Xenopus tropicalis: one gene and its partner. The protein of the gene in region 1 interacts with the protein of each later gene in a pairwise test. Links are inferred from orthologs where the notes say so. Each region holds a gene or a part of one and is shown on either strand. Other genes may lie near its edges.

Evidence for each region.
Region 2: the proteins of cpsf7 (region 1) and snrnp25 interact in binary tests that used the Homo sapiens proteins (3 or more experiments, as listed by UniProt). The two-hybrid records come from large-scale screens. The link is inferred for Xenopus tropicalis from reciprocal best matches to the Homo sapiens genes CPSF7 and SNRNP25.

Annotation. Positions count from the first base shown.
Region 1 is NC_030680.2:22,867,148-22,870,904, reverse strand, and holds the start of cpsf7 (cleavage and polyadenylation specificity factor subunit 7), read right to left. Parts: upstream 2,740-3,757; 5' UTR 2,586-2,739; coding exon 2,532-2,585; coding exon of another isoform or gene 2,499-2,531; intron 1-2,498. Other genes in the region: sdhaf2 (succinate dehydrogenase assembly factor 2, mitochondrial), read left to right, coding at 3,109-3,144.
Region 2 is NC_030685.2:40,339,491-40,343,247, reverse strand, and holds the start of snrnp25 (U11/U12 small nuclear ribonucleoprotein 25 kDa protein), read left to right. Parts: upstream 1-1,012; 5' UTR 1,013-1,017; coding exon of another isoform or gene 1,018-1,038; intron 1,039-1,095; exon of another isoform or gene 1,096-1,202; intron 1,203-3,757. Other genes in the region: polr3k (DNA-directed RNA polymerase III subunit RPC10), read right to left, coding at 704-814.

The sequences.
Region 1 (3,757 bases):
CCATATTGGCTGCAAAGAGAAATGCTTCCAAAATATACAGTAATGTAGATAGATCCACAGCACTGGAGTAATTATTGTACTTTAATTGGGTTCCCATCATGCTTTTTTTGGAGACTTTACTGCAATCCACCAATACGGGGCTCATGTTACAATTACATAGAGATACATGAAATTTGAATGGGCTTGTTCATCTATAAATGAAGTTAAAATACCAATTATATGATACTATATATTTTTTATTAATTTCTTAGCTTTTCATTCAGAAGCTCTTCAGTTAGGAATTTCAGCACCTATCTTGTAGCTAAGGTTTAATTTTCCTTAGTAATCAAAGTGGCTTTCATAAGACACTGCAAGATGATAGGGGTAGTACACTTTTAAAATTAACTTTCAGCATAGTGTAGATGGTGATATTCTAAGAAAATTAGCAATTAGTCTTCATATCTTATTTTTAGTGATTGTTTAATTAAACTTTTTGTTGGTTGGCTCTACAGTTTTGAATTTCAGCAGCTATCTAGTTACCTTAACAACCAGGCAGTGGTTTGAACAATGATCTGAAATATATATTTTTTGGCTACTGGGGTCAGTGACACCCAATTCAAAGGCTGAAAGGGACAGAAGATGATGACAAATAATTAAAAAAACTATAAAACTGAAGGCCATTCGAAAACTTGATAAGAATTGGATATTCTATAAAAAAAAAAAATGTTATGTTAAAGGTACACTACCCATTTAATGGAGTATTTATTCTGTATGGGACAGAGGGTCTGGACATGGTACTAAATATTAATGTCTTAAGCCCAAAGCTGAACCACTGCTCATTCCATATCTGATAGATAACTTTAAGGCTGCATTTAGCTAAAATACAGGAATCCCCTCAAAGTAGATCCAACAAAAAATTGTTTTTGTTAGCTGTTAAAGCCTTCCAAACAAATCACTACAAGACAAAACAAAGCATTATTTTTGACTGATCCCAGAGAAGCCCCTAGTGATCAAACAGGCAAACATCAGATAACTGCAGGTGCAAAGTTTGTTCAGGTCTAGTAACCCATAGCAACCATAGATTCACTTTCAAGCGGTGAAGCAGTAGTTGCTGCATGCTGATTGGCTACCATGAGTTACTAGACCTGAAAAGAACTTTGCAGCTGTATCCATCCCTCACCCAGAGGCACAGAGCTGCGCAAAAGGCGCGAGTCAGCCATGACAATGCACAGTAATATGTATAATCCCATTGGGGAGTACTATATAAATAGCTCTAAATTAAGGGAACAGCTTTGATATGTTACTATTAATACCATACACTTAGCTGTAATAAAGGGTTTTCAGACAAAAATAAATCAAGGGTTACATGCACGGCATGGGTCTAAATACATATTAAAGGAACAGTAACACCAAAAAATGAAAGAGCTTTAAAGTAATAAAAATATAATGCACTGTTGCCCTGCACTGGTAAAACTGGGGTGTTTGCTGCAGTAACACTACTATAATTTATATAATAAGCTGCTGTGTAGCCATGGGGGCAACCATTCAAGCTGGAAAAAAGGAGAAAAGGCACAGGTTACATAGCAGATAACAGATAAGCTCCGTAGAATACAATAGTGTTTTATCTGTTATCTGCTATGTGCCTGTGCCTTTTCTCCTTTGAATGGCTGCCTCCATGGTTACACAGCAGCTTATTGATATAAATTATAGTAGACTTTCTGAAGTAAACACACAACTTTTACCAGTGCAGGGCAGCAGCACATTATATTTTAGTTACTTTTATACACTTTCATTTTTTGGTGTTACTGTTCCTTTAAAGGGGAACTCCACCATTTTTTACAAAGAGAAAGATAATTCTTAAAAAAAATAAACTTTTCAGTATAAAGTCATTATAAATGTTGGCTTTATAGTTGTGTATATAGATTTTTGCAGTCTGCCCCTGTTTCTGAAAAGTTCTCCACCCGGTCTGTTAATCAGCTGGCTCCTGCTATATTTATTATAAAGAGTCCAAACAGCAATGCAGAGCATTTAAAAAGACAAGACTCTTGTTTTCAATTATAATAATATTAGCAGATAACTTTAAAAAAAAACATAGAACAGGGTTGATTAATGTAAATGGGAAAGCTGCTTAGCATCACAGTTTGTTTCATTATTGAATAGACTTGTGGTGGAGTTCCCCTTTAAACAAACAAAGCTATTTAAAGCCAGGCAAGACAAGGTTGGAGAAACAGATTGATTTTAATGATAAGAGAGATAAACAGAGAGACATAATATATAGGAGCCAGGGGACTGCATATCAATATATCACAGCCAGAGGGGGAGGGATGGACAATGGGCTTTATATATATATATATACTGAGGTGCATAACACACTATATACCAGGCTGGGAATAGAAATACATAGAACCCTGCACTGGGGGGAAGGGCCCACGGCTGATTGCGGGGATCTGTCCAGCCCTGTAGCCAAAGCAGCAGCCAACGTGCGTACATACGGACACGACAGAGATAAATATATGTACATTTCTCTTTGGGCCGCTCCGGGTCTCCCCCACCTGGATGAACTCCTCCTCGGCGTAAATATCAATCAGATCGGCCCCGTCCGCCATCCCCGGCCCGGATCCCCCCGAGCGAGGATGCTCAGTTCGGATAGCACTTCCCCCCCTCCCCACTGCCCCAACTTTGTCTCCGCGTCCGTTTTGGTTGCTCCGGTTCCGTTCAGCCACACTGTTCTTCCCCCACTGATAGTCCTCCGCTCTCCGGAATATGCTCTGCTCCCAGACTCCCGCGCAAACCGGAACTTCCGCCGCCTCAGATGCGCGTCAGGGACCCACTTCCGGTAGAGAAGGTCGGGCACCGGAAGTGTACGGAATTGTGACTTACACCGTGACCCGCAAGATGTTCGCGTCAGGGACCAGGTTCCGGTAGAGAAGGTCGGGCACCGGAAGTGTACGGAATTGTGACTTACACCGTGACCCGCAAGATGTTCGCGTCAGGGACCAGGTTCCGGTAGAGAAGGTCGGGCACCGGAAGTGTACGGAATTGTGACTTACACCGTGACCCGCAAGATGTTCGCGTCAGGGACCAGGTTCCGGTAGAGAAGGTCGGGCACCGGAAGTGTACGGAATTGGGATGTTCGCGGCGGGGATGCTGAGAAGAGCCCCTGCGGTGAGAAGCTGTGGGGGCAGAGGGTTACCCTTGTCTTGCACATGTGTCTGTAAACTACGGCACCCAGCATCCTCTCCAGCACAGTTGTCAGATTTATTGGTTCCATCTGTCATGTGATCCCTCTAGCTTTTACCAAGGTTATACATATAGGAACTCCCATGTTATTATCAGCAGCTCAGCAATAGTGCATTCAGTAGCACAGCAAAAGGGCCAAGTAAGTGTTTATCCCCCAAAGGGGCACTATAGTCTCTTAGTCAGCATAAGTGCAGGAACGTATGTCTGTTGTTATTGGATTCCAAGTTTTCTCCCAACAGTCACAACAAAGGGTGAAGGAAGTTGTATGCTGGTAATTCCTTTACCACCCATGGACCAGATATAGAGTAGGTTCGATTTCCTACACGTATGCCATCCTACGTGTGGGTGGGATGGCATTTTGGGGTGATTAGTCGTTAGTCGCTAGGGAAGATTTATCGCAGCGACACATCTCCCCTGTACCACTGCCCATAGGCTAAAGTCCCACTCAGAGATTAGACGCCTGCGATAAATCTCTGATTACAGAGGAGACTAATCTATCCAAAATGCCTTTAGGGCTCTGGCACACGGGGAGATTAAG
Region 2 (3,757 bases), on another chromosome or scaffold:
ACAGTATTTCCCCTTAAAGTTTGTCAAATAAGTATCTAGCGGTCAGAACTCCCTATGTATTAATATATATTCAAATGTATTTATTTAGATATTATTTATGAAAGTGTTAGGACACATTTTATAATATATATTTATGATATTAGTGTGCTTTAGCAAGGTAATGCACTTCCACAGGGGAAGTGATTGTGCTGTGGTGTTCTGGGTATTGTGAATTTAGGGTTAAAAGTGTGCCCTTCTATGATGATTTGTTCCCAGAAGGGTAATAGCCAAAAAGGAAGAAAAGCAAGACCTTGGCCACAAACTAGCAAAAATCAGACAAAAAAAAAAATCACAGGTCATATGCGTATATTCAAATGTTCATTTTGGGGGGTGGGGGTAGCAGGTGTATCTATTTACTATGCATTTTATTTAGTATTTATCATAAAACATAAATGATAAGATCACCTTTTTAACTTTGTAAGTCTATTAAACTTACACAATTTAGAGCTAAAAGCCCCAGCCATTACCAGAATATGTTGTTAGCAATTTATACAGATTCATCCCGCACTTAAAAATCAGCGCATTGTACTGTTGCTAATGTAATGTTATCTGCCAATTAGCAATGCTTGGCATACACAAGGCATAAAAAGGCTTCGTAGCCACCAGGACTACACTTACGCCGCTTAAAACCATATTTCTATCACTTCAGAAGACCTCATTATACCTTGCGATTAACGTTGTGCACATAAGGGCAGGTATTACAGGCAAACCTGTAGCACTTCTGTCCCTCCTCCACGATCAGCACATTCCCACACGTCGGGCAAAATAGCAACATTGCTGCTAACAGATTAGCTCAAACTTCGCATCAACCACTTCATCCTCCAGACGCCAGTACCGCTGCCTAAGCAGAATGATCACCACGCGTTTGCCCTAGCCTCGCATTCACCTACATTACATCTTATTGCGCACGTTTCCGCCCGGTGATGACGTCTTTAATGGGCGCCCTAGAAATCTGCGACAGTTCCATTTGTAACTTGAATGAAACGGTGTGAACTAAAGGTGGGTAGTGGAAATTGCGTTGAAAAACTTAACTCGAAATTCTAAATTTCTACATTTAAGTCCAGCTCCCAAAAACTGATAACACGAGAAGAGCAATTTTTGCAAAGCAAAAGCAGAACTAGAAGTCTTGCAGCCATTTAAGTTGAAAAGGAGAAAAGGCACAGGTTTGGATATCATATAACATATATGCTCTGTAATAAAATGCAGTGGTGGTATATTCGTGTTAATCTGGTATCTGCTGTGTATCCTGTGCCTTTCTCCTTTTTTTATCTTGAAGTGCTTCCTCCATGGCTGCATAGAAGCTTGTTTATATAAACTATTTATATTCTTATTTATATACGGCTGATGCCGCATGGAAACCCGCATGCAGATAATCAGTCCCTCCGCTGACAGCCTCCTACCTTGCCTGCACCAGAAACTATTGGGCTGGCCTGGGTGCAGGCACACATGGCAGATATCAGCAAAGAAACTGTAAATTTAGCATTTTAGAGTGGATATTCATATTGTATGCTTGCACCTGGGCCAACGCAGTGGTTTGACCTGGAAAAGTAGGAGGCTGATGCCCAAGGAACTGATTCTTGGCCTGTGGTTTTTCATGTGCTGAGAATCAACCCCACATGGTATAAGCATTACAGTACTTATGTACGAAGCACTGTACAGCAGAGCATCTAATTGATAGAACCAGGGCCACCATCAGAAATCGCGTTCTTATAGTAAAACGGTGGTGTGTATTTCTTTTTCTCAGGCTTTGACCAGTCTCTCCTATATACAGTCCTCCTGTTCAGTATCTAGTGCACTGTATTAAGTACACCATATTGGAAGAAGAACAGTTGTACTGACCATGGATGTTGTATTCCTCTAATGTGTCTGAAATCTGAATTACAGATGTGTGGGCAGGTTTTGCATTGTTTTTTTGCCACAGGGATAAGTTCCTTTTTTGTTGGGTTGAATTAAGGCACTTCTTGTTATTAGTTGTTTTAGGTTTGGGGGCTGCCTGAATGCCAGAAGTGGTGGGTCTGGGAATATGTTTTGGAGCCTCTCATCCTTTTGAGGTGTACACTGTAGATCCTTGGCTATTTTTCTGAGGGTCTTTTGTTGGGGATCGTATGTGACAACTAGAGGAATTCAATTTATTTCTGTTTTTTGTTTGTATTGTAGAAGTTGACTTCTGGGAATCCTGGTGGCTGTATGGATATATTGATCCACAATCCTTGGGTTGTAGCCCCTGTTAATGAAATCTGCCATGAGTGTTCTTAGGTGGTGGTCCCTTTCAGTAGCATCAGAACATATTCGATTATATCGTAGAGCCTGGCTGTAGATTATGGAGTGTTTAGTGTGGTCAGGGTGAAAGCTATCATAAATTAGATATGATGGTTTATCCGTTGGTACAAAGTATAATAATAAATAGAAATTAATACAAGGTACAGTTGCTTTAAAGGGCACCTATCACCCCTATATTGTTAAGGTGCCCTTAAAAGCAACTGTACCTTGTATTCACTACCAGTTCCCAGTTTATGCATGTGCTCCAGAGCTTTCAACCCCAGGAGATTGTCTACTGGGGAACTATTGCAGTGCACTGCTAATAACCTGTGCGTGTGCTATTTGATGTCATTGCAAATACACACAATATGGGGCCCATTTATCAATGTACGATGGTTTACGATTACAAAAAAATGGTATTTTTTCAAACTTTTAGAACTCTGCGTATTTTCTACGATATTTTCGTTTATTTCTGTGACTTGTTCGTACTTTGTGATAATTTGTACGAAAGTTTCGTAATTCATTCAAGCTTCGGTATCGTGACGTTCCTTTGGCCAGGTTGGAGCTGCAGAGTGCCATTGATTCCTATGGGTGGCTTCCAAAAACATGCACTGAAGGTTCAAAGTCACACAAAGATTTTCGCGCCATTTACGATTGTTTGGATATGAAAATTTCGTAACTTTTGGATCGTACCACGATCTATACCACATTCTGAACATTTCCACACATCAGAAATTATCGTTAAGTATACGAATTTTCGCAAATCGTATTTTAACACAATCTAAATTTGTACATTCATAAATGGGCCCATATGTGTGATATTGCAGAATGCTTACTGAACATCCACAGTGAGCATTAGGGAAATATCAAGTGCTATTGGGATATAGCGAGAGACGGCTCTGGTTCTCCAAGAGGTAGTCTTTAGTTCTCTCTTGAAGGAACAGTAATGCCAAAAATGAAAGTGTATTAAAGTATTTAAACTATAATGTACTGTTACCCTGCACAGGTCAAGTTGTGTATTTGCTAAAGTAATGGTACTATAGCTTATATAAATAAGCTGCTGTGTAGCCATGGGGGCAGCCATTCTACCTGGAAAAAAAGAGAAAAGGCACAGGTTACATAGTTACATAGAGTTGAAAAAAGACCAGAGTCCATCAAGTTCAACCCATCCAAGTAAACCCAGCACACACAACCCACACCTACCAATCTATATACTCACATACATAAACTATATATACAACCACTAATACTAACTGTAGATATTAGTATCACAATAGCCTTGGATATTCTGCTTGTTCAAGAACTCATCCAGGCCCCTCTTAAAGGCATTAACAGAATCTGCCATTACCACATCTCTAGGAAGGGCATTCCACAACCTCACTGCCCTCACCGTGAAAAACCACCTACGCTGCTTCAAATGGAAGCTCCGTCCCCTTTAATCTAAAGGGGTGACCTCTGG